Linked DNA regions of Rattus norvegicus. The main gene of each other region encodes a partner of the protein of the gene in region 3 in a complex. Links are inferred from orthologs where the notes say so. Each region holds a gene or a part of one and is shown on either strand. Other genes may lie near its edges. The genes, in order: Wtap, Mettl14 and Rbm15.

Region 1 (9,843 bases), on a different chromosome or scaffold from region 3:
AGGAATCCTGTAACACCTTCTGAAAGTTGTGATCATTCATTCTAGATTGACCATGTACAGAAACGTATCTTAATACTTTGTAGTCCCCTGATGCAAACAAAGTACAAGGGGAAAAAGGTGAAAAATGCTGAAACATACCTTTTTAGGAAGAGGTTCTTCGTTGGTCATCTTGTACCCTAAAAAAGGGGGGAGGGGAGTTAGGGGAAATACATTCAGTTAATTTTCTTTCAATTAAAGTTTTTTTTCCTCAAAGTTAAAACTGTTTCCTTTGAACCAGTTATTAGCAAGTGTTAATGTGAAATAGTTATTAAAACAATCTTGTATTTCATAGTACTTCGATCCCTTCTTTTATTGTGGTGAAAGGGATTCAACCCAGGACTCCTGACACTGTAGGTAAGTGTTAGCCCAGGATAGTTTCAATTAACAACAACAACAAAAAGAACAAAGACATGATGAATACCCCCTATAACTTCACCAAATTCCGTCTCTGCTAACATCTTTCATCATCATGGTTGTGTAATTTTTTAAAAATGTTGACAGTAAGTCGGGCCTCAGAAGGCTGAAGGATTAGAAGGGCAGCACCAGCCACCAGTTTTCTGGCCTTGACTTCTACAGCATTGTGCTGTTGACAGTGAAGCAGAACCCATCATGTGATTCACTACGCTCTAAGGATGTTAAATATAAAGTATGCCTACCTTAAGACAGTATGGACCTTAAACAATGTATTACACAATACAAGTTGGGAAATAAATATACAGAAAAGACAGCTAACCTAACAAATATTAAACACTGCTTGACTCGGCTTGTGGGACAGTATTTTTCTTAAATCTAAGTTGTTTTAAAGTAATAATTTATACACAATTAACATGAATTCTTGGGTTGGAGGGATGGCTCAGCAGTTAATTGCTCTCAAAAAAGACCTGAGTTCAGTTCCCAGAATTCAACCTAAGGTGGCTCACAACTCCAGCTCCAGTTCCAGGCAGAACCAACACCTCTGGCCTCCACAGGCAAGCCTATGCACATTATCACACACACAGAGAATTAAGAACTAATCTTTAGGGGCTAGAGAGATGGCTCAGCGGTTAGGACAACTGGCTACTCTTCCAGAGAACCTGAATTCAATTCCCAGTAACCACATGGTGGCTCACAACCATTCTATAATGAGATTTGGTACCCTCTTCCCGCATGCGTGTGCACACATACAAAATACTGTATATTCAATGAATAAATCTTAAAAAAAAGTTCTTATGAACACACCTGATATTTTCTTTTTTTTTTTTCCCAGAGCTGAGGACCGAACCCAGGGCCTTGTGCTTGCTAGGCAAGCGCTCTACCACTGAGCTAAATCCCCAACCCCCTGATATTTTCTAATATTCAAACTTAACCAGGAGTCAAACAGTTATTCTTAGGTCTTAGTTCTCAAAGTTACCTTCTGTCTTTAATTATTTTTTCCATTTTATTTTACTTACCAATACCTATCAAAAATTCTAAATTATAAGCTGGGTGTAGTAACATATGCTTCAAATTTGAGCACTCTGGAAGGATAGGCAGATGGATCCCTGTATTTTGAGGCCATCCTGTATTGAGAGTTCCAGACAGCCAAAGCTACAGAGAGACTGTCTCAAAATTCTAGACGATTAAGATTTTGACTGAAAATTGTTATACTGTTTTAAAAAGATATTTAATTTCTCAATGAACATATGACTTGTCATAAGTAAAGATTTTTCCAATATAAATGTACATATACTCCCATATGCATGAATAGTCTAGTCATACCACCACTGAACCCAATTAGGTCTGTTATACAGAAGAAATCAGGATTTTAGGAACTCTCTAAATGCTATAATGGGATTTGATGCCCTCTTCTGGTGTACAGGCATACATGTGAGCAGAACATCGCACACATACTTTTTTAAAAAGTATGACATGGGTTAAGGATGTAACGTAGTTTTACAGTGCATGCTAAACACACGCAGGGCTCCGGAACTTCAAATGACAAATGAGAGAGGAAAAAAAAACATGCACTTCTGCATTTTGAATAACCAGGATTTATCAAGTTCCAGGCAGCCAGGGCTACAGTGAGACCCTGTGTCAACAAACAGAAGAGCACAAGAAAACCTGCCCACTGTGGCACAGCACATATAGTTCAGTACAGCACCCAGGAGGCAGAGGCTGGAGAGTTTCAAGTTCTACAACAAGGAAGTTGCAGGCCAGCCAGGGCTACAGAGAGACAGACCATCTTTAAAAACAAAACAAAACAAAACAAAACAAAACAAAAAAAAGGCAAAACAGAAAACCTCAAACACGAATAATTTGGCAAACTTCCAACAGGTTAAAAGATGACGGGCTTTTAAATTACACAAAGGGGGAAGGAGCAGCTGGAGAGATGGCTCAGAAGTTAATACTGACTGCTCCTTCAGAGGACCTGGATTCGATTACCAGCAGCCACACTGTAGCTCATAACAATTCTAACTCCAGACGTACGACAAAACACCTATAACTTTAAACTTATTTGTGTAGACAGTTCAGAGAATTCATCTCAGTTTAGAATGCCATCCACTCTTAAAGCCTAGCTTAGGCTGTGGAACTGCTTTAGTTGACTAAGTGCCTACCATCCCAGATCATAACACTATGATCCTAAGTTAGGCAACTTAGTACTCTCTGGAGAAAGGCAACCACACGCCAAGGTAAGTTATGCAAGAAGGCATGTATATGGCTCGCTGAAATAAATCACAGTGGATGTTAAGAAATGGCATCGTCTGGCAGTGCTGGAGCCTCAGCACTGCAGGAGTAAGGGGACTTGTTAGAAATCAGAACACTATTTCAGTCTCCTGTTTATGTGATCAAGTCACTTAATTCTTTGGGCTTCAGTTTCCACATCAGTGTTGCTTAGGGCACAAAGTACTGCAGGTCTGTTATTGGTACCATAAAAACACTATACAAACAAGGACTGCCTGAACACAATCAACACAGGAAATAAACTCTACCAACTTCATCTTTAAAGCAAAGAACACTGAATCTTGTCTGATGGAAATGCCTAACACCTAACACCAATAGCTTATTCAATGATGGGAATACTGGAAAAAAAAAAACTTCCCAAGCTTAATGAAAAGAAATAGGAAGTATTTAGAGGAAGAAAGTGGGAGATAAAAACAAGAATGCATATCAAGTAAAACTTCTAAAGAGCATGATAAATTTAACTACACCTTACACCAATTATCTAGGCGGCTAACAATATTTTCAAGAGTCTACATTATATACACAAAAAGACAGGAGGGACCTTGAAAATGGTAATGCTCTGTCCAAATACATCAAATGGCTATTACAAACCATAATTTAAGTAGTGTTCAAACACACTCATCTGTTTAAGAATGAAGAACTAAAGCACCCTCAGAAACACATCTGCCCAAATCCTTAAAATTCAGTTCCAACACATCAGAAGCCATCCTGTAGACTGCAACTTTCCCCAACTTGCCTGAGCAATAGTTGCTGAATGAATGAAACCTAGCCACCTCAAAAAATGTCTGTTTTTAATAGTTTCAGATGCCTACATATTTACCTATGAGAAAACCTGGTGCATGGTTTTAAAATTAAGTACTTTTAAAAATTTTTTGTAAATGTTTTGCATGTATGTATGTGCATCACGTGCATGCCTGGTGCCACCCACAGAGGTCAGAAGAGGGAAGTCAAAATTCCCAGGAACATGAGTTAAGGATGGCCACGAGCCATCAATTGGGTGCTGGACGAGCAAAAAGTACTCTTAACTCCTGGGCCAACTCTCCAGCTCCGATGCTCAAATAAATAAGTTAAAGTGAAAAACAAATAGAATTTGTAGTAACTGATTTGTGACTTCCACTTATCTTTCCAAATAATAAAATTAACTAAATGAAAAAAGCGAGGCTATAGTGAGAACGACAAAAAAGGCATAAATACAATTTACGACTATAACATGCTCACCGATCCTTACAACCAGTGTGCAGTGTCTTAGTCCTTTGGGGTCAAATTAACTGACTTCCTCATTATCAAACCAAGAACTGTGGGCTCGGGGATTAGATGAATGGCAGAATGCTGGCCTAATAACATGCATGCACAAGGCCTAGCGTTCCATCCCTAGCCGCCCCCGCCCTCCCCAATAAGAAAATATGTACACAAACAGAAAAACTTAGGTCTTTTCTCACTGTGCACTGTCTTATGAAAATCAAGTTTAAATATAGTCAAATCAGCCTTACAGAGATCCAAAACTAGACTAAAAGTTCACGAAAAATTTCAGGAAGCTGTCAAAAAAATTAACTACTCTCACAATGCATACTTATGTAAAAATGGAAGTCCACATGAGAACGTGGCTGCAATGACAAGCTACTGCGTGACGTGAAATTCCTTTTTTTTTTTTTTTAAAGAACCGAATGCATCACTTGGGTCATACAGAACTATCGGTACCTCTAGGTCCCGGGTGACGAACCCTGGAAGGTGGGAGGGGGCGACAGAGGCGGGGAAAGGACAGGCATGGCCAGTCAGCCCCGAGAGGGCGGCCTCCGGCCTCCCCGCCTCCCCAGTCGCGGGAACGCCCGCCTTGTCCCCTGCCGTCAGGAACGGGAGCAGAATGGCTGTGAAACGGTGCAAGTATCCCCACGAGCAGCAAACCGCTCTGACTAACGGGAAGCCAGCGCGGCCGCAAGCCCGGTCGCCCTTCGGGCCTGGAGTGCGTTTCGCCGGGTCCAGGGCGGCCGCGCCTCGCTTCCCGTCCCTGCAGGCCCTCGTGGCCATTCCCGCCGCGGGCCGCACCTACCTTCCCAGCCCGAGGCTGCGCGGGCGCCGCCAGTCACACAGGCCGAGGCCGCGCCGCCGCCGGCCCCCCCCCGCACTCCTCCCGCCGCAGCCCCGGAGATAGCCTTTATTTGCGGGTCTCGCAGCCACAAAATGGCGCTGAGGGAGGAAACCAGGCCCCGCCGTCGGCCCCGCCCCGCCTCGAGTGCGCCCCGCCCCGAGTGCGCCGCCGATACCCCGCCCGTGGCCCACTCACCCGAGACGCGCCTCTCGGGCGCCGCCTCGGTCACCGTGCCCGGTGCCTCCGGCCAGAAGAGACGAGGCGAGGCCGGCCCGCTCGGGGTCTCGGGGCGCGGAGGGGCAAGCGGCTCTCCGCAGCCGCACCGAGACCGTCCGCGGAGGTTCGCACCTGCCCCGTGGGGGCTCTGCAAGCTTAGCCGGGATGGGGAGGGAAGCGGCCGGAGAGAAGGGCGGGCCCGCGAGGTCAGAGGTCACCCGCGAGGCATCACGGGACGGCGGCCGCTGCCGGACACGCTCGGCGGGGCCACCTGCGGCTGCAGCACGGCCTGGGCGGAGGAATCCGAGCCGACGAGCGCGTGATTGGCTCTTCGCTGCAGGCCGCATAGCACAGGATGCTTCCGCTCGCGCTGCCGGAACGCGGAGACAGCAGCTTCACGCCTAAGCGCCCCTCGTCCTAAGTTTGGGGGCCTTAGAAGCCGCCGCTTTCCCTGCGGCCGCCGGCTTTGCTCCTTGTGGCGTCTCTGGGCTTAAGTTGAGGTGCAAGGAAGCTGCGCCTGTGGGACGTTCCAGGGCAGATCGCACACCAGAATCCCGGAGAAGGCAGCAGAGTGAGGATTCTGGAGTCCGAGAAATCACTCCAGTAAGACAGTCGCCTGGATTACAGCAAGAACGGCGTTAGTCTGCAGTCTCTTCAGCACTTCCCAGATGGGACAGTCATATTTAGGTTTAGTCGGTTTTATGAGAGCAGTTAATCCCCAGCGAAGGTGTCCTGGCTGAGATCACTTATAAGTACACAATTACAGTAGAGACCAGATGACCAGAGGAGCCATGGTGTTCCACTTAGGCTAAGAGAAAAAAAGGTCTTGGAAAACTAAAGAAAATGGGAAAAGACATGAACAGATGATTCACAGAGAAGATGTCCTTAAATATATCGTAGGAGGAGGATCAACTTTGTTTATAATGGAAATACACATTGAAATCCTGTATCCTGGTAGGGATGCAGTCATTAATAGTTAATGTGTTACTTTGGAATTACTACTGGGCTGAGTGAATAAAGCAATGTGTAGAAATACATATACACATATATGTAGGCACATACTGGGAAGACAGAAGGATATTGCAGAAACTTAATACTTACTCAAAAAGTGGTAATGGCTATAGGAGATAAAGGTAGAAGCAAGGCTTCTCTGAGTTCAAAATTTATGAAGACAAAAGGTAAAAACCCTTCAAAGTCAAGTAAATTGAAACGAACCAATTGACTCTTAAGCAGTTTGGCAGTGGAACTGAGACATAGACAAAGAATATATATAGCTACAGTGTTTTGAGTTTCACACTCTGGCACTGTGCCTGTGGATACCTAAGAATCACTCAGTTTCACTAAGTGATTTGTAATTATAACATTGTTGCTGTGGTTTTGAAGTTATGTTTATTGTAGTACAAACATTTCAATGTTACTTTCTCCAAAGATTTCTAGTGTAAAAGAAAATAAGATACAGGGCTGGAGAGATGGCTCAGCGTTAAGAGCACTGGATGCTCTTCCAGAGGTCCTGAGTTCAATTCCCAGCAACCACATGGTGGCTCACAGCCATCTGTAATGGGCTCTGATGCCCTCTTCTGGTGTGTCTGAAGACAGCCCCAGTGTACTTATATATAATAAACAAATGAGATACAAATACAAAAACCAAAGAAGTTCAGAAGCACTATTTAAAATTGAAATATCGGGGGTTGGGGATTTGGCTCAGTGGTAGAGTGCTTGCCTAGGAGGCGCAAGGCCCTGGGTTCGGTCCCCAGCTCCGAAAAAAAAAGAAAAGAAAAAAAAATTGAAATATCATCTTGAGGCTGGAGAGATAGCTCTCAATACTTAAGAGCACTTGTTGCTTTTCCAGAGGACCTGGGTTCAATTCCCAGCATTCACATGGTGGCTCATAATTGTAACTCCAGTTCCAGAGAAATGGGTCTGATGACCATTTCTGGTCTGTGGGCATACATGTGGTATACTGTGGTACATACACATATTTGAACACATTGTATTTAAAAAAATTTTTTTTGATTTAAACTTTTTTATTTTACATGCATGAGTGTTGTCTGTGTGCCTGGTGGGTGTAGAGGTCAGAAGAGGGCGGCAGATCTGGAATGGAGTTATAGATGGTTGTGAACCACCATTTAGGTGCTGGGAACTCCTGCGTCTCTGGAGTCACAGCCAGTGCTCTAATGACTGAGCTATCTCTCCAGCTTCTTGGACACATTTCAAAGTGTCTTAAGGTGAAAGACACATCCGTATCAGGTGGCTCATGACTCCACCTCCAGGGAGTTCTGACCACAGAAAGATACAACGAAGCCCATCATGTTGTACAATTAATATAGCCCATTTAAAAAAAAAAAAAAACTTAACTCCTTGATTGTCCCTTCTTCCCAGGTATTGAAGTAGTTTCCTGGGGCAATGGCTTATTTAATTGAATATTCCCAGGCAAGGGCTACAGAGATGATTCAGTGGTTAAGAGAGCTTTTATCCCTCTTGCAGAGGACGTGGGTTCAATTCTAAGCACCCACATGGCCATTCCCAATCATCCATAATGTCCTCTTCTGACCTGGGCTGGTTTCAGGCACACAAATGGCATACACACACACACACACACACACACACACACACACACACACACACACACACAAAACAGTCATACACATAAAGCTAAAAGAATCGTCCCAGGCAAAGCAGGATGGTTGTGCATCAGTGGTGACAGTAAGTGCAGCTAGCACCCACTCTTGGTGTCTAAGTTTTGTAAACTTATTTATGTACACCCTGTATGCATGTACGCCTGCATACCAAAAGTAGGCATCAGATCACGGGCTGCCCTGTGGTTGCTGGGTGTTGAACTCAGAACCTCTGGAAGAGCATTCAAGTGCACTTCTGCTGAAGCAATCCCACCCCCCCACGTTCTATTTTACATTAAAAAAAAAATCCAGAACTCTTGGTTCCAGTTCTGGGAGACATAAGTAAAAACTTGTGTAATATCTTAAATGTAGAGGAAGTGTCTGAGTGAGTAAGGTCTAGTCACAGGATTTAGGAGAAAAGGCAAACTGACCCATTGTGATTGTCTAGAGGTCAGCAGGTGCTAAACGTGGGAGGGAAGAGGAATCTACTGAGGAGGAAGATTAAGGAACTCAGGGTCATAGGTACACTCTTGTGTGTGATTAGCCAGGCTTATGTGTTTGTTCTTTAGCTTGTTGGCCAGATATGCACACTTACCAAAACTAATCAAGCCAGCACTAAAAGGGCACATGTGTTGCATGTAAGCTACATGTAAATAAAGTTTGCAAACAAGCCATGACAAACCAAATGAGAACGGCAGAAGCTCAAAACTAAAAAATTAAAAGTTACAATAAAATATAATAATATACATATAAAAATATAAGAAAAATAAAAGTTAAAAAGCAGAGGCTGTCTTTTGAGAATCTGGGACATGGAGGGAAGAAGTCAGTCCAAGTCATGTCTTGGGTTTGCAGAGGTTCCAGGGGAGGCAGAGGAGGCATCCCCTTGGGAAGGGACTGTGCCTTGACTGGAGGCTGGGCACTGAACTGCTGGAGGTGACCAGTTGGAAGCCAGTCACCTCATTTGCTTGCCATAGAGGGGCATAGTTGTCTAAGTTGGGAGTAGAGACAAGGACTGGGGATATAATTCAGCTTGGTAGAGTGCCTGGCATATATGAAGCCTCGGGTTCATGAAGCACTTTATACAGGGATGGGGGGGGGGGGAGCGCAACACAGGCCTGTATCTCCAGCACTGATTGTTCGAGAGGCATGATCTAGGTTCCTGGAGAATGAGGAGAGAGCACAGCCTGACTTCCCTCCAGCCTGAATGCAGCAGGGTGGCTTCCTGGGCTGGTTAGTGTTAATAACGTTTTGCCTTCTTGAGACAGTTGTTCTTGGTCATGCGTTACAATTCTGTTTCATACAGTATATAGTCTGGCCATTGTTCATTATATAGAATATGTGCCAAAAGTAAATTTGAAACCACATGAGCCTGCTTGGAGGATTTCCCACAAGCCAAATTGGGGGCAATTTTAGCCTCAAAAGGGAGTTGATCGCAAACACTGAAAATGGGAAAGCTCTAGCTTGTTTGCAACCCCAAACCTCAGGAACTGAGGCAGACATTAGGAATTTGAGGAAAGCCTGGGCTACCTAGCAAGATCTGCCTCAAAAAGACCCAAACCAGCCATGGCACCAGTTATTTGTGAGAGGAGAGAGGGAAAGCTATGTTTTCATCTTTGTAATTGACTGTTATTAATGTTGCACTTTGAAAATTCAACTATGAGAAAATAGCATTTATTCTGCCTTAAAAGTGCACTAGGGTGATTGGACATCCCATCATGAGGCTAAAGTGGGAAGGTACTAGGTTTCAGGCCTGGGCTACATAGAAAGAGCCTGTCTCAACAACAAGAACAACAACAGCACAATTATTCACCTCCGGTTGATGAAGGAAAACTTTCCTTGATGCTCTGGTATATGAAGCTAGCCTTTAACTACAGAGCCATCTCTCTGGCCTGGAAAGGATTTCTTCACAATAGAGTACCCCTAGTGAGTGTATAATAGATGATGATAGAATTACAAACTAAGTACAGTGTAAGTCCCAGTGAAGTGCTTAACTCAGGCAAAGATTATCAGTGGGCGTTAAAACCTTTTAAAATAAACGTTGGGAAGAGCCATGGTGTGGCATCAACGTGTGCGTCCGTAGACTGTCCTCTAACAGCGAAGCGAGAGCTCATCTTTATAGTGGAGTACTCTGGTGGTCATCATATGAAGCAAATTGTCAACTTAATAAGACAGAAAATAAACCTACAA
Region 2 (9,761 bases), about 17 Mb from region 3:
AAACATTTCACAATCTCATGGTTTGTCATTTATTTGCATAGCGTGCTATTTTACTCTACTAATGGGTTGCATTTTATAATCTTTACCCTCTCGAATTTATTTTAGCTTATGCTAGACAACTCCGTACTTTGTTTCCTCTAGTGGTCAAGAAGAGTATCTCCAAATACAAACCAAATTATCCTAAAATTACAAAAGGGTACATAGAACCAGCTGATCCTAATGTGAGGTATTTAAGAAGTGGGTGTTGGTGCTGGTGGGCTGGTTGACAGCAGTGGTGAGGGTACATGTCTGTTTAGTAGGGCTGGTGCATATCACTGAAGCCATGCCTGTGAATATTCTCCTGTAAACTTCAGTTCATGGTAGAGAGATGGTACATATGGAGATATGGAGATATGGAGACGGGGGAGGATATCCACAGACATGTGTATATTGGTTAACTCAGGATTCACACTACCCTATGGTAGTGACTCACACCCTGCCTTTCTCCTGACACCACGTGTTCTTTATAGTGATTCACTAAACCGTGTCACTGGGACAGCTTATTTTAGTCAACTTTGAAATGATGGGATTATATTTTCCCACAAATGCTAGGAAGACTCGGACAGAGCAGCTATGACAGAGCAGCAGTTAGGATGTGAAACAGGAGCTGTATGAAAGGAGAGAAGTTTAGCACTCACTCCCCTTGACAAGGGTGGAAGAGGCCTGTGCGCCTGACAACAGACATATAGTTAAGGCACCGCCACCGACTGCGTGACATCTAACCACTGTGGTTTTTAGATGGAGGTCGGGGACCCTGTGGAAGAGTTAGGGGAAGGACAGAAGGCCCTCAAGGAGATGGTGACCCCACAGGATGACCAATAGTGTCAACTAACCAGGGCCCCTAGGGCTGGGGGGGATATGGGAGGTCTGCCCTCTCGGAGGTGAAGGGAAGGGGTGGGGGAGGAACTCTGGCGGGGGGGGGGGAACCAGGACAGGGCAGCATTTGAAATGTAAATAAACAAACAATTTTTTAAAGAAGATAAATATCAGGTTGTAATAGAAAAACATGAAGAGCTCTCTCTCTCTCATTTAGGTTGCATTTGTATTAATATTGTTTGATTCTATGTGGCAGTAACAGGCTGGGAAACTTACACAACAGCAATTTATTTCTCACAGTTCTGAAAACTAGGAAACCAAACATTGTGATGCAGTCTGCATTTTTTGTTGGTTATTTAATATGATAACTTGACCACTGCATCTTCCAGAGAGCAGGGACATCACATCTGTCTTAGTTAGGTCTGTTTTCTATTGCTGTGAAAAAAACCCATGACCAAAAAGCAAGTTGAAGAGAAAAGGGTTTGTTTGATTTGCACTTCTATATTGCTGTTTGTCACTGACAGAAGTCAGGGCAGGAACTCAAACAGAGAAAGAACCTGGAGGCAGGAACTGATGCAGAGGCCACGGAAGGGTGCTGCTTACTTGCTTGCTTCCCATGGCTTGCTCAGCCTGCTTTCTTATAGGGATGGCACCACCCACAATGGGCTGGGCCCTCCACATCAATGACTAATTAAGAAAATGTCTTAAAGCTCAGATCTTTTTTTTTCTTTCTTTTTGCTCTTGATAATCACTAAAATAACTTTTGGACCCTCTGTATACCAGGACATTGTGGCAAAGTGTCCCTATCTTGACTAATTTAAACCAAAGAAAGCTCAGATCTTATGGAGGCACTTTCTCAGTTAAGATTCCTTCCTTGATTGACCCCTTGTCAACTTGACACACAAACACACCATTATTAAGCCACGCCATTTCTTTCTTATCCATCCCCAAGATCTCACATTAAAAACATAAATAAGCATACATTTAAAAATAAACATTAATACAGTCTTTCACAAATTCAAACACATTACATTTTCAGTTTCTTTAAAATATGTAAAATCTCTTTAGCCTCAGGCAGACGTTTTGGACAAGGGCAGAAGCAGCCACATTCTTCACCAAAACATCACAAGAATAGTTCCTAGGCCACATTCATCTATTCTCCTCTGAAACACCTTAAATCAGGCCCCCACAGCTCAAATCATCCCCAGCACCACTGTCTTCCATTTCTCTACTACTTTGGCCCATTAAATTCTACTTAAAGCATTCAGCTGCTTTTTAAATCTGAAGTCCACATTTCTGCAAACAAAACCATGGTCAGGTCTGTCACAGCAATACCCCAGTCCCCAGCACCAACTTCTGTTTTAGTTACAGTTTCTATTGCTATGAAGAAGACACCAGGACCACAGCAACTCTTATAAAAGAAAACATTTAATTGGGGCTGGCTTAGAGTTTCAGGGGTTTAGTCCATTACTCTCATGGTGGAAATCACGGTGGCAGGCAGACATGGCACTGAAGAAGGGGCAGAGACTTCTACATCCATTCTGTAGGCAGCAGGAAGCAACTGAGACACATCCTCCAACAATGCCATACCTACTCCAATAAGGCCACATCTCCTAAGCCTATGGGAGTCCTTGTCTTTAAAACCACCACAAGGTCCTTATATGGCAGAAGGCAGGAATCTGGTGTGTGTGTGTGTGTGTGTGTGTGTGTGTGTGTGTGTGTTAACATTTTCCATAAAAACCCTTTATAAAAAGTAATGAATCCATCCAAGAGCACGGAGTCCTCATGATGCGATCACTTCCTACGTGTCCCATCGCATTCCTTTCAAGGCAGAGATTCATGGAAGCCAAGGTGCTGAGAATAAGTGACTTGAGTGTTCGGAGCACCCCCTCAAGCCTCAAGGATCATGGAGAAAGGGGGAGCAGAAAGAATGACAGACCTGAAGACAGGACATGTTTTCTGGGCATGGCACAGCCAATGAAGTCATGACCTCAGAGTTTGCAGTGACTACAGTGAGCCTACACAATACTGAGCCTATCAACATAGAATTAACAATCACGGACTGGGAAAGGGCTCATGGGGCCTCTCCTAATGAACTACAGCTATATCAATAGATTCTGAGCCAGGGACAGTCACTGTTTCTAGTTATGTACCTACTAGACGCTCACCAGGCCCCAGTGGTCGTATATACAATTCTGGTTAGACTCAGTGATTCTCAAAACAGAACAAATCTAGATATACTAATCACCAACCAGCAAACCAAGATAAGTAAATAACCCCATAGACACGAATATGGGGAAGGGATGTATGGGGTGAATAGAGGTGTGGAAAAGACTAGAAGGTGGATGGTTGCAATCATCCGAATGAACTTAATGCATATATAAAATTGTTGAAGAAGAAATTTTAAAAATTATTTTAAAAAGTAACACCTGATTTGGGGAATTAATTTTCATCACACATTTTTGGAAGAAACTGAAACAATGTAACACATGTAACAGATGATGGGAAATGTTCTAAGATACACAATAGGCAGTTGGATATACAGGTTTGCAGATAGCAATCCTAAGGGGCTTGGAGGAAGCAGTGCAAACTATGTGCATCATCACTCTTTTAAAGCAAGTACCTACAAATGAAATTGTTTCCTCAAAGAGTCGGGATGACACCTGGACTTCATCTTCGTCTCCCTCTTCTCTCGCTTACACACACTGGTATGTTGAGAGGATGAAGTGATATACAAATAAACATGTACAGGATCTACAGATGTGTTGATGCAGTCTAGTAATTACAACTTCAGTGGTGAGAGAGCTTAAAAGTTATATCCCTTTCTTTGTAAAAACTGCAACAATTCTCTGATGGATCCCATTGACTTCATAAATACTGTATGGATCCATGGTTGTCAGTCCCGCTTCCATGCAGGAGATACATAGTTACTTTAAATGGATAGCATGCGTTGGAATGGCTACCCAGCTTAGAGCTTACGGGACAGAAGGAGGAGCTGCCATGTTCATTTTGAGTTTTTGTTTTTTTTGACCTTTGATCTTTCGTAGACTCCAGAGCCCACCATACTTGCTATAAGAAATGCTCAGTGAGCATCTAGTCTCAGCAGTCATGATTAGCAAATAATACAGCGGAGTTTTAAAGAGATACATGTTAACACTATACAGTCAAAATATTTTACAGTATATTTTTTGAAAATTAACATTTTTTTGTCATGTAATTCTGCTATTATGCAAGAAACTCTTGTTTGGTTGTTGTTTTCGAGACAGGGTTTCTCGGCGTAGGCCTGGATGTCCTGGAATTTGCTCTGTAAATCAGGCTGGCCTTGAACTCGGAGATCTGCCTGCTTCTACCGCTCTGTTTGCATTTATTTTAATTAATTAATATAAATGAATGACAGGGTTTCCCTACGTAACTATTGCTGTTTGTTTGCATTTATTTTAATTAATTTATTTATATAAATGGATGACGGGGTTTCATTACAAGACCAGGTTGGCTCCAAACTCCTGGATCCTCCTGCCTCAGCCTCCCAAGGCCCTCTTACTGTTGTCCTTTTACAAAAGCTCGCTAACTTGCCAAGGGTACTGAGCTAGTGAGCGTGGAGATCCAATCCTTCACAAGCTGGTCAGTACTGCAGTAAAAGAAACCCACAAGCATACCTCAAATGTTAAAAAGCCAGGGCTTACAGGCAGGTAATTGGTTAACGCGAGAAAGAAAACTTCTTTTATGAGCAGAACAAAAAACGAACCCAAACCTCTGGGAAAGAGTTAAGAACTAAGACAGCTAGAAAGCGGCTCCCCACCCGCAACCACCTCTGCATCCTTCATTGGGTGTCGTCATATGACGTCATATAGCCGGCGTCCCAGAGGCGGGATTTCCTGTCTGGGCTTAGCCTGTCTCGGGCGCGCCGGAAATCCCTCCTGAGGGACGTGAAAGTCTCCGGGTCAGAATCTCGGTGGGACGCTGTTTCCTGGTTTGGGAGGAGGGTTTGCGTTTTGGCGGGCGCGGTGTCTGTCGGGTGGTGAGAAGCAGGACCTGGGGCATGGACAGCCGCCTGCAGGAGATCCGGGAACGGCAGAAGTTACGGCGGCAGCTCCTAGCTCAGCAGGTGTGAGGCCGGGTGGGAGGGGACGTCAGTGCGCGTGCGCGGCTGCCTTTTTTTTTTTTCACCCCCTCGTTTCTTTTTTTTTTTTTTTTTTCTTTTTTTCGGAGCTGGGGACCGAACCCAGGGCCTTGCGCTTGCTAGGCCAGCGCTCTACCACTGAGCTAAATCTCCAACCCCTTCCCCCTCGTTTCTTAATTCCCGCCTGTCCTTTTTGTGAATTCTCATCGGTGTCAAGGTCTTTGTCCCGGGACTTTTATTCCCTAGTCTCCCCACCTCCTCACACGTGCTAGTCAAAGTCATTATGTAGAAGACCCACCGCTACCAGTCTTGGACTTTCTGGACCCACATTTGCGAGCACAGACTTGTGGTGGGGATAAATTTGCTAATTGTCGATGAGTGTTAGTAGTTGTAACAAGGACAAGTGGCAGTTTTAGCTCCTACATTTCACCTTCACTGGTTAAGCAATGTTTCGCGTCTTGCTTTTCGTCCAAATCAGCTTCAAATCCTTTTTTTTTTTTAAAGATTTTTTTTTTTATTTTAAAGTGTGTGGTTTTGTCTCCGTGTGTATATGTGCCAGAGGTGTCGGATCTCCCTGGTGCTGGAGCGACAGGTAGTTGTGAGCCTCCCGATGTGGGTGCTGAGACATGAACTTCGGAAGAGCAGTGCATGCTCTTAGGCGCTGAGCCATCTCTCTAGCCCCAGCCTCACGTTACTGAGATTGGTTTTGGAGAAAGTTTGATTATTTTCTTGAGATCCTGTGGAAAGACTCACTGGAAGCAACTGAGTAAAGATTCTGCCCTTAAAACACAATCTCCCATCAACCAAACATTTGAATCCTTACTTATTCCTACTTGGAATAGGCTTCCAAGATTGTTAGGTTCTCCTTGGCCAGTCCTCACCAGAGAATTAACTAAGATCTGTCTCTCCAAACATTACTTTTCCAAACCTTTCACTTTCCTTGAAGTGAGATGAGTATGTGAGTGCTTGCCGTTTAGTGGACCACACGTGCAGGGAGTACATACTACAAGTTGTTTCACTTAAAATCTGAAGCTGTTGTCATTACCCCATGCAAACCAATATAAGTGATGGAGGGAAATGCTCAACGCTTTAGCGAGTAAATTTTAAATTTCCAATGAGTCTTTCCGCAGGCTCTCAAGAAGATAAAACAAACTTCCCTTAAAACCAATCTCACAATGTGAAGCTGGCTAGAGAGGTAGCTCAGCGATTAAGGTAGCTTGCTGTCACTTTCCATTGCTAAATCTTGGGTTCCTCAGAGAACTTTCTGAAGGATTGACTGAGATGAGATGAGAATTACAAATAGTCATGGGGAGAAAATTAGAAAATTCTAACTATAGGAAGTACATGTTCTGTCCTCAGACCAGAAAGACGTGGAGAAGATTTTTACGGAGGAGTTGAAACTGGTGTATTGGAAGAGAGCTTTTATTGGAGAAATGAAGGCAGCCCTAGGAAGCAGTAGAGAAGATTTTGTTGTTTAAAGTCAAAGCTGCTCATTTGTAGCCCTGATATTTTTGAATACCTTCTTGCCCTGGAGCTAAAGGGAACACTAAGTACTGATTTTCTTATGCCGTTTTTGTGCTTGATACTAAAGAGTTCCTCGTGCTGCCCTGTGTCCTTAGTCTGACCTGGAAGGTTTTCTGTGAATTAGTTTTATTCAGCTCAGCCTTTGTTTACATTTGTTGCATTCTGCAGAGTTTCTTCAGTGGCCATTTAAAGTTGACATTACCGTTTTTAAGCTATTAGTAAATTTTATTAAAGACTTAGCTTTTTTTTTTCTTTTTTTTCTTTTTTTCGGAGCTTAGCTTTAATGAAACTGATTGCATTTCTGTGAGAGCATGGGATAGAATATGATATATAAAGCAATTCATATGAAGTCATTTGCTTTTGGGTTATTGATAGTACTGCCAACTTGTGTTTTATTCAGAATTGGCCAAAGAGAATCATCTTAATTTCAAATATAACCAAATGCATAAAATATTTTCCAGCTGATAAAATCATTCTTAATTAAAACGATGTTCTTACCGTTCACTTACACGCCTGTTGATAGTGTGGTATGGGCGGTGTTGCTTTTATAAAATACTTGATTTATTAAAATTAGCAGCACATTTTGGGCGTGTGAACAATGCGTTGTGACCTAACTTTGGGTTCTTGCTTCCTAGTTGGGAGCTGAGAGTGCAGATAGCATTGGTGCTGTGTTAAACAGCAAAGATGAACAGAGGGAGATCGCTGAAACAAGAGAAACTTGCAGGTATGTTGACCTTTTAGTGACGTGTGTACAGTGAGAAAGGATCATTCGTGTAAGTTTCTGTTGTGACGTATTTATGAGGGTTATTTTGGGGGAATGAGACAGTCCCGCTCTGTAGCCCATGTTGTCCTCACACTTGCAGCACCTCTGCCTGAACCTCTTGAGAACTAGAATCTCCCATAAGGGTTGATTTTTTTAATAAATAACTAATTGCAGGTTTGAATGTGTTCTTAAGAAAACTGTGAAAATGAAGATTTTTTGGAAATAGTTTTTAATGTCAGGTTGAAATTATTAAGTCTTTGTGAAAATACTGGGTTCGTATTTATAAAATAGGTGGAAGTGAAATGTTATACTAAGAATTAGCTTACATACCATAAAAACTGTTAAATTATAAATTACAATTTTATGAAAATGTACTTCAAACGTGGTATTCAACTGATAATTCAGAAAACATTTCATAATTTTTTATTCTGAATTTTCGGTTCTATCAGTTTAGCTTTCAGAGCATAGTATAAAATTATGTAAACTAATATATGAAACACTATTTAAAAGTTTCTCCTCATAATAAGTCTTTATACTAGCTTATTTTTTTCACTTGGTTGCTTTCTTATAAATAAAGCTACAAGTATTGCCTTTGGCTTTTGGATGTTTTATAGGTAAGTAGACATTTAATCAGGAAACATTTGGCTTCGCTTCTGTAACTTGTTAATAATACAAGCAGATGCATGTGCACCTTCTGTGCGCTCCTTAAGACAGCTGCGGTTGAATTCCCAGGGCTTCCTATGATACTTCTGCTCCAAATTCAAAACGGAAGTGTCTGGATGAAGGAGAGACGGATGAAGATAAAGTAGAAGAATATAAGGCAAGTAGAAAATGAGGTAGTTTTATACATGTTTGAGAAAAAAGTTAATCCTAATAGATTTGTCTCATTTAGAGAGCTGAACTGTAAGATCCTAAAATCCTTATGAGTAACATTTATCTGCTCAGTTAAAGACTTATATCAGGGGGTTGGGGATTTAGCTCAGTGGTAGAGCGCTTGCCTAGCAAGCGCTAAGGCCCTGGGTTCGGTCCCCAGCTCCGAAAAAAAGAAGAAGAAGAAGAAAAAAAAAGACATATCAGTTTGCTCATTTTATGTATGTGTATGCCATGATTGTACCATATGCATGCCTGGCCAGGCCAGTTGTTATATCCTGAGGTTCACAACTATATAAAGCCTTTGGTGAGCTTTCTTTCCCAGTAGCCTACTTTTCAGCCTTATACAAGCTAACCAGCAGGGAGGATGCTTTCTGGTTGGTTCTAGCTTGATTTCTCAAGTCTTATGACTCAAATATGTCTATCTTTGGCAATAAGGTCTACTATCAGGTTCTGGTGGGTGATCAGAAACAATGGCAATAGCCTATTCTGCAGGGTTATCTTGATACCCTGACCAACAATTCAAGGGAAGGTTTCTCACACTGACATTGGGATTTTTATTTGGCAATCTATGACTTCTGGAAGAGGCATTTCCTTTGTGTAGAGTAACTCAAGTTAAGCTCCTTTCTATATATGTATTTAAATATCTTATAAAATAGTACATTTCCACGTGACTTTTTCAAACACCCTTAATACTAGTTAAACCCCTGCTTCCCAGCCTGTAAAACCCCTCCCAACTTCCTATCCACTTAGCAAAACCTGAATTTGGTTTCCAACATCCATCCATAGGTACCAGCACTCACATGTTCATACCATGAACTCTTGCAGGGGACCTGGATTCAGTTCCTAACACCCACATGGTACCTGACAGCCGTCTGTTACTCCAGTTCCAGGAGATCTGAGGCCCTCTTCTGACCTCCTGAGGGCAAAACACTCAAAACCATAAAATAAATAAATCAACAAAATTTTTTTTTAAAAAAGTAAATCTAAATGTAATGCTAATATAAACATATCTGAGGGGAATAAAACACTCTTAAGATGCAATAATTTACTATATAAACATAAATGTATATATAAAATATATGTAAAGAAAAATATGAATATGTATATATATGCATGTGTGTGTGTGTGTGTGTCTGTGTGTATGTGTGTGGTGTGTGTTATGGTTTTTTTTGGGGGGGGGGGGCACAGGATTTTTCTGTATAGCCCTGGCTGTCCTGAAACTCACTCTGTAGACCAGGCTAACCTTGAACTCAGACATCTGCCTGCCTCTGCCTCCCGAGTGCTAGGATTAAAGAAGTTCCACCACATCTAAATGTATATATTTTAAATACTTTCTTCATCTTCCCTTTTCAAGGATGAACTAGAAATGCAACAGGAAGAAGAAAATTTGCCATATGAAGAAGAGATTTACAAAGATTCCAGTACCTTCCTTAAGGTAAAACAAAGACTTTTCAAGTCTTAGAACTTTCACATTTGAGCTCTATGCTGTAAAGGACCTCATTTTCTTGAGGAGTTTTTCAGTTTTTGAGAGATCTCTGTATGAAAACAAAGATCCTAAGTTACTCGTGAAATATTCTGATTATTTAGATATTTAGCCTATAATAGTGGTGTATTTATATCAGAATC
Region 3 (9,853 bases):
CCATTTCAAGACTACAAGCTTTGAAACAAAAAGAAAACAGTTGGGTTCTGCAAGGCTTTGAGTAAGTCATGTTCACAGAATAGAAAAATGACCATGATCCAAAAACTCAAGTTCCTAATCATAATTAAATACTGGGCCCTAGTTGAAGTCCTCAGTACTTAAATCAAGGAAGAAAATCACATTAAGCCTTAGAAATCACAAGTGGTAGCAGAAGGGCACATAAAACAAACAAAAAAAGTATTATAAAGTAACAGAAGCCCTTATTAAAAACCAGATGTCAAATCCTCAGCTCTCAATTTTGTGGGGAGAGGGCTTGATGGGGGTGGGGGTGGGGAATCTGTGCAGGTAAGTTAATTACAAGTACAAGAAAAATCAAAATTAAAAAAAAAATAGTAATAATTAAAAAAAAGTTTTTCTAACACTGACATTTCAAATTTCTCCAGTCAGGCAACAGTTAGTCAAACATTAAATTTCAAAAATATTCAAAACAGTGTCACCAATATAATGCCACTACTCTTGTTTAAGCAACAACAACAACAACAACAAAACCTGAAGGAATTTTCTTCAAACAGTTTGAAGGCATTTCACAATAATCTTTTAAAAATTCTGTAATTTGGATGTTTGACTAATGTCTACGAGGGGAAATAAAAGGATTACTTATAAACCTGCAGACAACTCTTACTGAAACCAGAAATTTCTTAAGTGGATACAAAAAAACTTCATTTTTGGTTTTGAAGTATGCACAATAGAACTGTATTAACTACACTTCTCAGTCAATTAGAACACTATCCTGCACCTAACTTACCAACAAATTTTCATTTTAAAAGCATTTACTCATTTTTTGCATACCAGTTTAAGATGTAAATGGTTCATAACACAAGTCAACTTTTACCAATTACTGCTACAAACATGGGATACAAAACTCAAAAACTAATGATATATTAAAGCAAACTTTCTGGGAATAAACTGTGTATATAAAGAAATACGCAAACACCTGATTAAAATAATTGGACTTTGCCAATACCTGATCAAATTTTAGTCACACAATGCTTCTAGTATAAATTATCTATGCACCAATCAAATCATTTTCAGTACAGTGTAAATATTTTCAGAAGGTTCCTTTCTCCAAATTATGATTTTAAAAATTGTGGGTTTATCATTTTGAGGATTTTTTTTTTTTAAAAACTCAAGATTGAAAAAGAAAAAATAAAAAACCTGAAGAAAAAGAAAAATTATCAGGGTAAGAACTCCTAATTAAAGCAAATCTATCTTCCTGCTACCTTCAGGGCATCCCTTTCACTTAATAACTAAACTGCCCCATTATCTATTTTAAGGAGGTTTACAAAAATATATATATAAAAAAAAACCAACTAAACTAAATGAAAGAAATTTTCATCTGATGCTGTATCCCATTACACATCACAAAACAAGGAACCATGTCAAAGTAGTAAATACAAGTTACACATGGACTTTAGGACGCACCACGGACAATGATCATGACCAGGTAATCTTCTTCAGATTTGGCCAGTGCCTTGGCAGGGGAATCCAGGAACTGCTGAGAGAACTCACAAGGTGGGAAGGCATGAAGAACCCCGGTGTTTTCCTTGTCTTTATTGCCTCCCACAGGGAGGCTGATCACCCCAGCTGCCTGCTTTTGCTTTAAATAGGACACAAGGTTCCTAAGTGGCCTCTGAGTAGAGGCGGCAGTGTCTGATGTGGCTGAGGAAGAGGAGGATCGGCTGTCAGAACTTCCAGGTACAGCTAGGAGAATGGCATAACCATTAGGCCCTGCCACTTTGATGCGTCGAGTTACTTCATCCAACTTGGGCTGGTCCAAACGGAGCCGCTGAGTGATCTTGAGCTGGGCTACTTTGCCTCCAGTGGAACCCTCCACAAGTAGACTGCTAGCAACTTGGAGGTCACCCTGCAATAGATGCATGTTGGAAGGGAAGTTGCTGTTCTTCAGTAGAAGCATGCCCTGCCAAGCCAAACAGAGTTTGGGAGAGGATGCTGCCACAGGAGCTGTCCCTCCATCCTGTTTCTGGGAAGGTGGCTTCTGCTTTGATGAAGAAGTGCTGGCACTGGGTGTATTGCCATCAGATCGGTCTTCCTTTTTCAGAGGGGTTTTTCCCTCTGTGGGAGCAGCTGTCCGGTGCTTCCTATCCCGTTCAGCTGATGCAGAGTTTTTACGGTCTCGTTTGTCACTCTGGCTCTTCTCCAAACTGCCCCGTCTATCTCTGACTGGGGAAGGCCTTTCCAAGAGTAGAAGACGAGATGATCGATCATTGTCACTGTTGTAACGATCTCTGTTACTGCTCAGTTCTGGACTTCGGTCAGGAGAAGGAGTGCAGTGACGCTGTTTTCGAGGCCGGTCACTCTCGGGTGATCTATCAAGATGCCGTCCTCCACTTTCCTCAGGCAGCCTTCGCTTCCTTGGCTGGTCCCTGCTGCTAGGCAAATCCCGGTCACCTCTGTCCCTGTCCAGTGACCAGCCATCCCTCCTTCGATCCAAGCTATCCAGTGGCTCATAAGCAGTGACGGCACTAGTTGCAGCCCGAGCACTGCGTTCCCGAACCGGTGGCGGGGGTGGCACCCAATCAGAATCGGGATAAAGGTCCCTATCACGATCTCTGTATAGTAAGGGTGGTGTCCGGTCCCGAGCACTCCTCAAAGGGTCAGGTGCTCGATGTCCAAAAGTATCTGTCACTAGTTCATAATGGGTTAAGGGCAGAGGCTGAAGATACTGCTGCTGGTAACGATGTTCTGTGTCTGCAAAGTCTACCCTAAGGCGACGATCTGGGCCACCAAGTGGGAATCCACGCATATGGGTCCAGGCAGCATGAGCTGCATCCAAGCTTTCATACTGTATATATGCCCAACTGTCACCTTTTCGGTAGTCTATGGTTCGAATGGTGCCAAATCGATCAAATTCTCGTGCCAGGGCAGCAAGAGGCACCCAAGGTCCCAGACCACCCACCCAAAGTCGGGTAGTGGGTGTGGCTTTCCCATAACCAATCTTGATTGGATTCCGAATTATAATTTTGCCAGACATTGCTATTTTGGCCCTGTGAGACATGTCTAGGTTCTCAAATTTGAGAAAGCCGTAAGTACTGGTCTGGCCACGAGAAGGCCTCTTAATGTCCACTTCTGTGATGACTCCAAAACGATCAAAAGCCCTTCTCAGATCATTTTCTGTCACAGTGATATCTAAGTTGCCCAAGAAAAGTGTCCGGTTGGCACGCTGATCATCCTCAGGTGATATCTCATCCACTTCTCGGAATGGAGCAGCACCTGCTCCAGCTCCCACCCTCGGCTCAAGACTATATGCTGGCCGCACTCTGTCATAGAACGGATAGTCTCGTTCTCTTTCCAGCTCTCGGGGCAATGGTGGCGGGGGTGGAGGAGGCAGGCGGCCAAGAGCCAACTGCTGCAACCGGTAGTCTCTGTATCCCAAAGCAGCACCGCCAGGAGAAAGCGATCTCTGACCTCCACCTCCTCCAGGGGCGTGCCTGTGGCTACCTACAGAGCTTCCGACCACGCTGGACGACGGGGCGTAAGTATCTTTGTCTAACGGGGAGCGGCTGCGGCGCCGGCTCACATACACGGCTTCTATCTTCAGAGGCCGGTCATAGAGCACCAGGCGGCCTCTGGCATGCTTGGCCGCCCTCGCGTCCTCTGGCCTCCGGAAGTTCACAAAGGCTACCCGCTCATCCCCGCTGCCAGAACCTGAGAGATGACTGATTTTGACACTTACATCACCGAAGCGTTTGAACTCGTGAAACAGTCCGTCCTCCACCGCTTCGTCACTCAGCTGGGACCCCAATTCGCTTATCTTCAGGGTCTTGTACTCCACGCCGTCCCCGCCGCCAGGCGCTGAGGAGGCGGCCCCAGAGGAACGTGACTCCCCGCCTCCACCCCGGGAGCTGCTGCGCGACTCGCCCCCGCCTGAGGAATTTTTGGTGCTTGGGGAGCTGTAACTATGCAAGCGGCTACTGGAGCTGCCCCCACCGGTATCATACTCGCGGCTGCCGCCTCGGCTGCTGGACTTGTCCAGATGAAGGCTCCGCCGCGACCCGCCGCTGTCCGTCTTCCCGCTGCTGCTCCCATTGCTGCCGCCAGAGCCCCCTAACTTCTTGCTCCGTTCCCCACGAGAACTGGAGTCCTCACCGCCACGGGAGCGTTTGGGCTTGACTGGCGAGCGCTCCTTTCCTTTCATTGTTGAGGGTCGCCGGAGGTCGTCTCTGCGGAGCTGACTAACCCGCCACCCCGCGCTCGTTTCACACAGCGGACTCGCACGCCGCCATCTTGGACTCCGCCGCGGCAAAGGCTCCCGCCCCGCAGACCTCATTGGTCAATTAATTCACTCTTCAGCTTTCTCATTGGAAAAACTATTTGTCCGTCTTTACATCTCCCCGCGCTCCGGGAAGGCGCCCGCCCCGACGCTGTTATTGGGTTCCCAACGCCCTAATCGCAGTACCTCATTGGTTATATTCGTTGTCTATCTTAACGGTTCCTCGCGCCAGGCTGTAGCTCCGCCCCTCGCACTTCATGGTCACCTGACCCAAAGCCTAGAAGCGTTGATTGGACAAAAAGTCTGCCCTGTAACGGTACTTCTAGCACGGCGAAAGCAGCGATCCCACCTTCTCTTCCCTTTCATTGGTTTATGGCCACGTCCTTTAAATCACTACTTGGGAAGTCTGGACATCAGTTCAGGCGTTTTTCCCTGAGAACTTGGCTCTCTCGGATCTCGCGAGAGACAAAGAGCTCGCTCGCTCACTCGCTCGCTCTCTTTCAACCCCAGTCTTCCAACTTCTCCGGCGGCTGAATAAAGTTTAAATCTGATTGGATGTTGACGAGGAAAATGATTGGATAAAAGCGCTGTCCATCACTCACTTAAAGGAGTAGGCCCATAAACTGAGGAGTCTGAAGGTGAAAGACTCTACCACGCGCTTGCTGTGCGACGTCACTTAGCTGTCGCGAGACGGTGACAGTGAGTCAGGCCCGCCTCCCCGCGCTTTCGGCGTTCTCTTAAACATTTGTTAGGTCCTACGGCGTACTTGCCTGTGCTTCGGTCCTTCGAGTCTGGAACTTGCGGGCTCCGCACTGTCCTGTCTGGGCGGGACAATGGGCTCGGTGGTCCTTCCGGCTGCTGGCCCTCGATCCGCTTAGGCAGCTGTCCCGGGAAGTCCAGCCGACACCATCTTAGTTAGCAGCCTGAAAAAGCCCCACCCCCGTGCGCGAGAAAGCGCCTGCCCCGGTCTGTGCGGCTGGCTGGGGCGGTGAGTTCAGGGTTCACTGAGCCTCGGGTCACGCTGACGCCCTGGGCGGTACCGAGTCACAGCCCGCCCGCGGACATAGGAAACAGAGCGCAGCCCTGGCCGCCTTGGGCCCGGCAGTGACCTACACTCCGGGCTTCCGGGCCTACCGACTGGTCTGACCTGCAGGACCACTTGCAGGCCTTTTTTGCTTCCTGATTTATGTTGTGAAAATGTGTAGGATTTGCATTCATAAAAGATTTGTGAAAGGTAGCTGTGCTTAGCTTTAATATGTAACGCTTCTCACTGTGCGGGTACTACATTTATCTCGTTTCTTGGACCTCAGCACTCCGATTAATCCATATTAGGATCCAGTAACATGGCCACCTTGTCCCCTCCTAGATCCCCCTCCTTTGACTCCTTTAACCCTGATTCAAATCTAAACGTCTCCCCGCCACCAACTTCGGTGACCCCATGCATCTGTAAGGAGTCTCGTAAGCTTGTGTAATACTGGTGATCATAAGATTAGATGGGTAGGGGTTGGGGATTTAGCTCAGTGGTAGAGCGCTTGCCTAGCAAGCGCCAGGCCCTGAGTTCGGTCCCCAGCTCCGAAAAAAAGAAAAAAAAAAAAAAAAGATGGATAGTCTATACCACTGGTGCTTACCTCCTGGTGAGGGGAAATAGGCTTTTTTTTTTTTTTTTTTTTCTTTTTTCGGAGCTGGGGACCGAACCCAGGGCCTGGCGCATGCTAGGCAAGCGCTCTACCACTGAGCTAAATCCCCAACCGCGAAATAGGCTTTTTTGCAGTCTCCCCAAATATGTACCTTGAAGACATTAGAAAGATTCTGGTATTCCCATCTTTTAAGACTGAGTTGAGAATGTGTTTTAAAACAGGACATTTTACAAGGTGATAAGAATGCCCCCCCCAAAAAAAACCCTTAATTCTAAATTTAAAAGCTATTTGAAGACTAGATACAGCAACCTGATTAGCCCTATTTCAGCCGATTTGTTTTGTTAGTATATAATCTTGAAATTGGTGAATACTTGGTCCAAAATCTCTTGATTACATCAAAAAGATTTGAAAGAAGCCTGATAGGTAAATTATAAACCCCAAAATACTATAAAGCATAGACATACTTGTATTAAAAGTTGCTGTTGTGTGGCTTTTGGAGCACCTATATCCCAGCTACTCTTGAGGGTAAGGATCATAAATTCTTCATTAGCCTGAGTAACTTGATAAGTTGGTGAGATTCTGTCTTAAAACCAACCCCACACAAAAGAAGTCTGGAGACACAGTTCAGGAACCTTGGGCACCTAAGTGAAGCTCTAGGTTCAATTCTTAGTGGAAAAATATTCTTTTTTTTAAAGCACAGTATAGAGTTTATTCAGGGCATGGGGAGGGGAGTTAAGAGGATAGGAGAGAGAGAGAGAGAGAGAGAGAGAGAGAGAGAGAGAGAGAGAGAGAGAGAGAGAGAGAGAAGTTGAGGCTGGCCATGAGCATGTGGAGAGCAGGGCGAGGGAGGGAATGGGGAGGAGAGATTGGGGGCAGGAAGGCAAGAGCAAGAGAGGAGCAAGAGAGAACCGGAAAAAAAATATTCTTTTAAAGATTTTAGCAGGCCTGGTGATGTACCCCTTTAATCCTACCACGTGAAAGGCAGAAGCAGACAGATCTTGCTGAATTCAAGGCCAGATTTGCTCTTTGCTGCCAGATCTCCGCCATCATGTAGGCTCCGGCAAGGGCCTGTCCCAGTCGGCTCTGCCCTACATCCACTTAAGCCCTGCATCCTGAAGTGGTTGAAGTTAATGTCTGATGACGTGAAGGAACAAATTTACAAGTCGGCCAAGAAAGGCCTAACTCCCTCCCAGATAGGTGTGAGCCTGAGGGACTCACATGGTGCGGCACAGGTCAGTTCTTTTGTGACTAGAAATAAAATCTTGAGAATCCTTAAGTCCAAAGGCCATGCCCATGATCTTCCTGAGGATCTCTACCATTTGATTAAGAAAGCAGTTGCTGTCCGAATGCACCTTGAGAGGAACAGAAAGGATAAGGATGCTAAATTCCGCCTGATTCCGATAGAGAGCAGAATTCACCGGTTGGCTCCATACTATAAGACTAAGTGTATGCTCCCACCCAATAGGAAATAGGAGTCATCACAGCCTCTGCTCTAGTGGCATAAATGCTGTTGTGTACATAAGCACTTTGAGTAAAAAAAAAAAGACCAGCCTTATCTATATAGTGAATACTAGGCCTGCCAGGATTATGTAATGAGACCCTGTCTTTAAATATTTATGTGAATATCTGCATGTATGTTAGTGTTCTAATCCCCAGAGAAGCCAGAGAGGGTGATAGAGCCCCAGAGAAGCTGGAATTACAGGGTTGTGAGTCACCAACATAGGCCTCTGGGAAAACAAACTGTGTCCTCTGTAAGAGCAGCAAGTACTTTTAACCCCTGAGCCACCTCTCCAGGCCTGCAAAAATAATATTTAAAAGACCGTTAGCATAAATGCCATCAATCAGAGAAATATGTGTATAATAAACTACCAATTGTCGTTTTAAAAATTGTGTGTTGCATATACATGCTTACATTTTATTGAAATTATTACAGAAATTGCTCTTAGGCGCAGGGCGGAGGCTCTGGAATTAGCAAGAGACTTTTTGACATTGTAAATAAAAATTTCCTTGTAGGATTTAGTTTAAAAATATACAATAGTAGAATATTTTCGGAAGAGCACCCCATGTTCTGAACGCAGAGACTCGACAATCATAAGATCATGTCAATCTTTTTTCTTTAAGTCTATCATCTTATTCCCATCCTTGCCTACTCTATTATTCTATTCCAGGCATGTCCAATGCATTTTGCCTCAGATGTGGAATCCACCATTCCTTCAAAAATGGTTCTCTTTAGTGGAAAACAATACTGAAAAATAAAACTTTGGATATTGGGAGATAAAATAGTTGTACATATAATCTCTAAAATAGCATAAAGAACTTTTCATGGGTGTGTTCATCTATTTTAAGATTATATGAATACTACAGAAAAGGACATTGGATTAAACTTTAACCTGATTACTCAATGTAATAGTCAATCCAGAAAAACTATGAGTGACTGTTTTCAGCCTAAATCGATTAACATAGTGACTCACTGATGCAAAGGCAAGATAAGGACCAGTCAGTGTAGTTCCTGGACCTAATGGCAGGAGTCTGAGGGAAGCAACTGAGAACTAGAAACTAGAACTGAGAAAGATTGAAAGAGATGAAAAGGGACAAACAACTCAGTGGCTCGTCCTTTGGAAGCATCAGGGAGCTTGGTAAAAGCTAGGAAGGCTTCCAAGGGAACTGGAGTCCTTCCTGGAGCCAAGAGGACTGGTAAAGTTAATGCTAACAGCAAAGGCCATCACCTTTTGGCAGTAAGAGTCAAAATATAGCCTGTTACATGTTTGCCCATGACAGAACAGAATGATGACCTAAGCATTAAAAGTGTAATCTTTTTATTCTGCTTGTACTTGACTTTAAGCAAATGTTCATTGAAATAGAAAGCAAACATTGAGAAGACTTGCTGTGATTAAGTGATTTATTTTGTTTTCATTTCCTTGGGTTCTTTGAAGCACTAAGCTGTGTAAGTGAGGTTTAGCTTTACACGTGTACCTTGAGGAGGGCTGAGAAAGGATAAACCTGACCCGTGGTATAAAGGGCAAAGACTTGAAACTCTTCTTTGGGTGTTGTCAATAAAGTTGTTAAGATGCAATCCAAGCTTTCCTCTTGTCTCCAAGTGATCAGTGGCCAGATTCAGGAGGGCAACTGCCCTCAGTGATCATGGTGTTTATGACTAGAGTTAAGCTAGCTACAAATTCCCCTAGCACCATAGTAGTGCATTGTCAACCTGTTCTTTTAGTGCTCTGCCAAAATCCAAGAAATAGTGGTGAGGAGAAGCTTTTGTAGCCCATTTTGCTTTAGTATTGGCCCACTGGAGTTATACTACTGGAATCCTTGAGGGAAAGTTACTAGCTTTCTCTGTAAAGTGTTTTCACCATCTCCTTTAAAATTTCTCTTAAATATGAAAGAAAAAAATCAAAAGTACATGCACAACTTTAAAAATATCAGTATAATTTCAATGTTCTTTCCATCTTTATTCTTCCTGGGTTTTATTGTGTTATATCTAGACAATGCTTGCAATATGAATTTATTGAGAGCTGTTTAATTTCCTGGTATATGCAAACAGGCCTAAAGCTTGAAACTTAACATTTTTCCCTTCCATAATAGTAGATTAAAATTTTCTGTCTCATATCCCGATATAAAATGAGTGATCTCTTTTTTTTTTTATTAACTTGAGTATTTCTTATATACATTTCAAGTGTTATTCCCTTTCCCGGTTTCCGGGCAAACATCCCCCTCCCCCCTCCCCTTCCTTATGGGTGTTCCCCTCCCAACCCTCCCCCAGTTGCCGCCCTCCCCCCATAGTCTAGTTCACTGGGGGTTCAGTCTTAGCAGGACCCAGGGCTTCCCCTTCCACTGGTGCTCTTACTAGGATATTCATTGCTACCTATGGGGTCAGAGTCCAGGGTCAGTCCATGTATAGTCTTTAGGTAGTGGCTTAGTC

Evidence for each region.
Region 1: Rbm15 (region 3) and Wtap share a complex: the UniProt entries of both Homo sapiens proteins name them as parts of the WMM complex. The link is inferred for Rattus norvegicus from reciprocal best matches to the Homo sapiens genes RBM15 and WTAP.
Region 2: Rbm15 (region 3) and Mettl14 share a complex: the UniProt entries of both Homo sapiens proteins name them as parts of the WMM complex. The link is inferred for Rattus norvegicus from reciprocal best matches to the Homo sapiens genes RBM15 and METTL14.

What each region holds. Positions count from the first base shown.
Region 1 is NC_086019.1:50,066,335-50,076,177, reverse strand, and holds the start of Wtap (pre-mRNA-splicing regulator WTAP), read right to left. Parts: upstream 5,206-9,843; 5' UTR 5,021-5,205; intron 4,921-5,020; exon of another isoform or gene 4,787-4,920; intron 4,745-4,786; exon of another isoform or gene 4,438-4,744; intron 177-4,437; 5' UTR 169-176; coding exon 139-168; intron 1-138. UniProt on the Homo sapiens protein: Associated component of the WMM complex, a complex that mediates N6-methyladenosine (m6A) methylation of RNAs, a modification that plays a role in the efficiency of mRNA splicing and RNA processing.
Region 2 is NC_086020.1:214,226,395-214,236,155, reverse strand, and holds the start of Mettl14 (N6-adenosine-methyltransferase non-catalytic subunit), read left to right. Parts: upstream 1-4,743; 5' UTR 4,744-4,894; coding exon 4,895-4,960; intron 4,961-7,134; coding exon 7,135-7,223; intron 7,224-7,994; coding exon 7,995-8,082; intron 8,083-9,489; coding exon 9,490-9,570; intron 9,571-9,761. UniProt on the Homo sapiens protein: The METTL3-METTL14 heterodimer forms a N6-methyltransferase complex that methylates adenosine residues at the N(6) position of some mRNAs and regulates the circadian clock, differentiation of embryonic stem cells and cortical neurogenesis.
Region 3 is NC_086020.1:197,637,482-197,647,334, forward strand, and holds the start of Rbm15 (RNA-binding protein 15), read right to left. Parts: upstream 5,217-9,853; 5' UTR 4,349-5,216; coding exon 1,483-4,348; intron 1-1,482. UniProt on the Homo sapiens protein: RNA-binding protein that acts as a key regulator of N6-methyladenosine (m6A) methylation of RNAs, thereby regulating different processes, such as hematopoietic cell homeostasis, alternative splicing of mRNAs and X chromosome inactivation mediated by Xist RNA.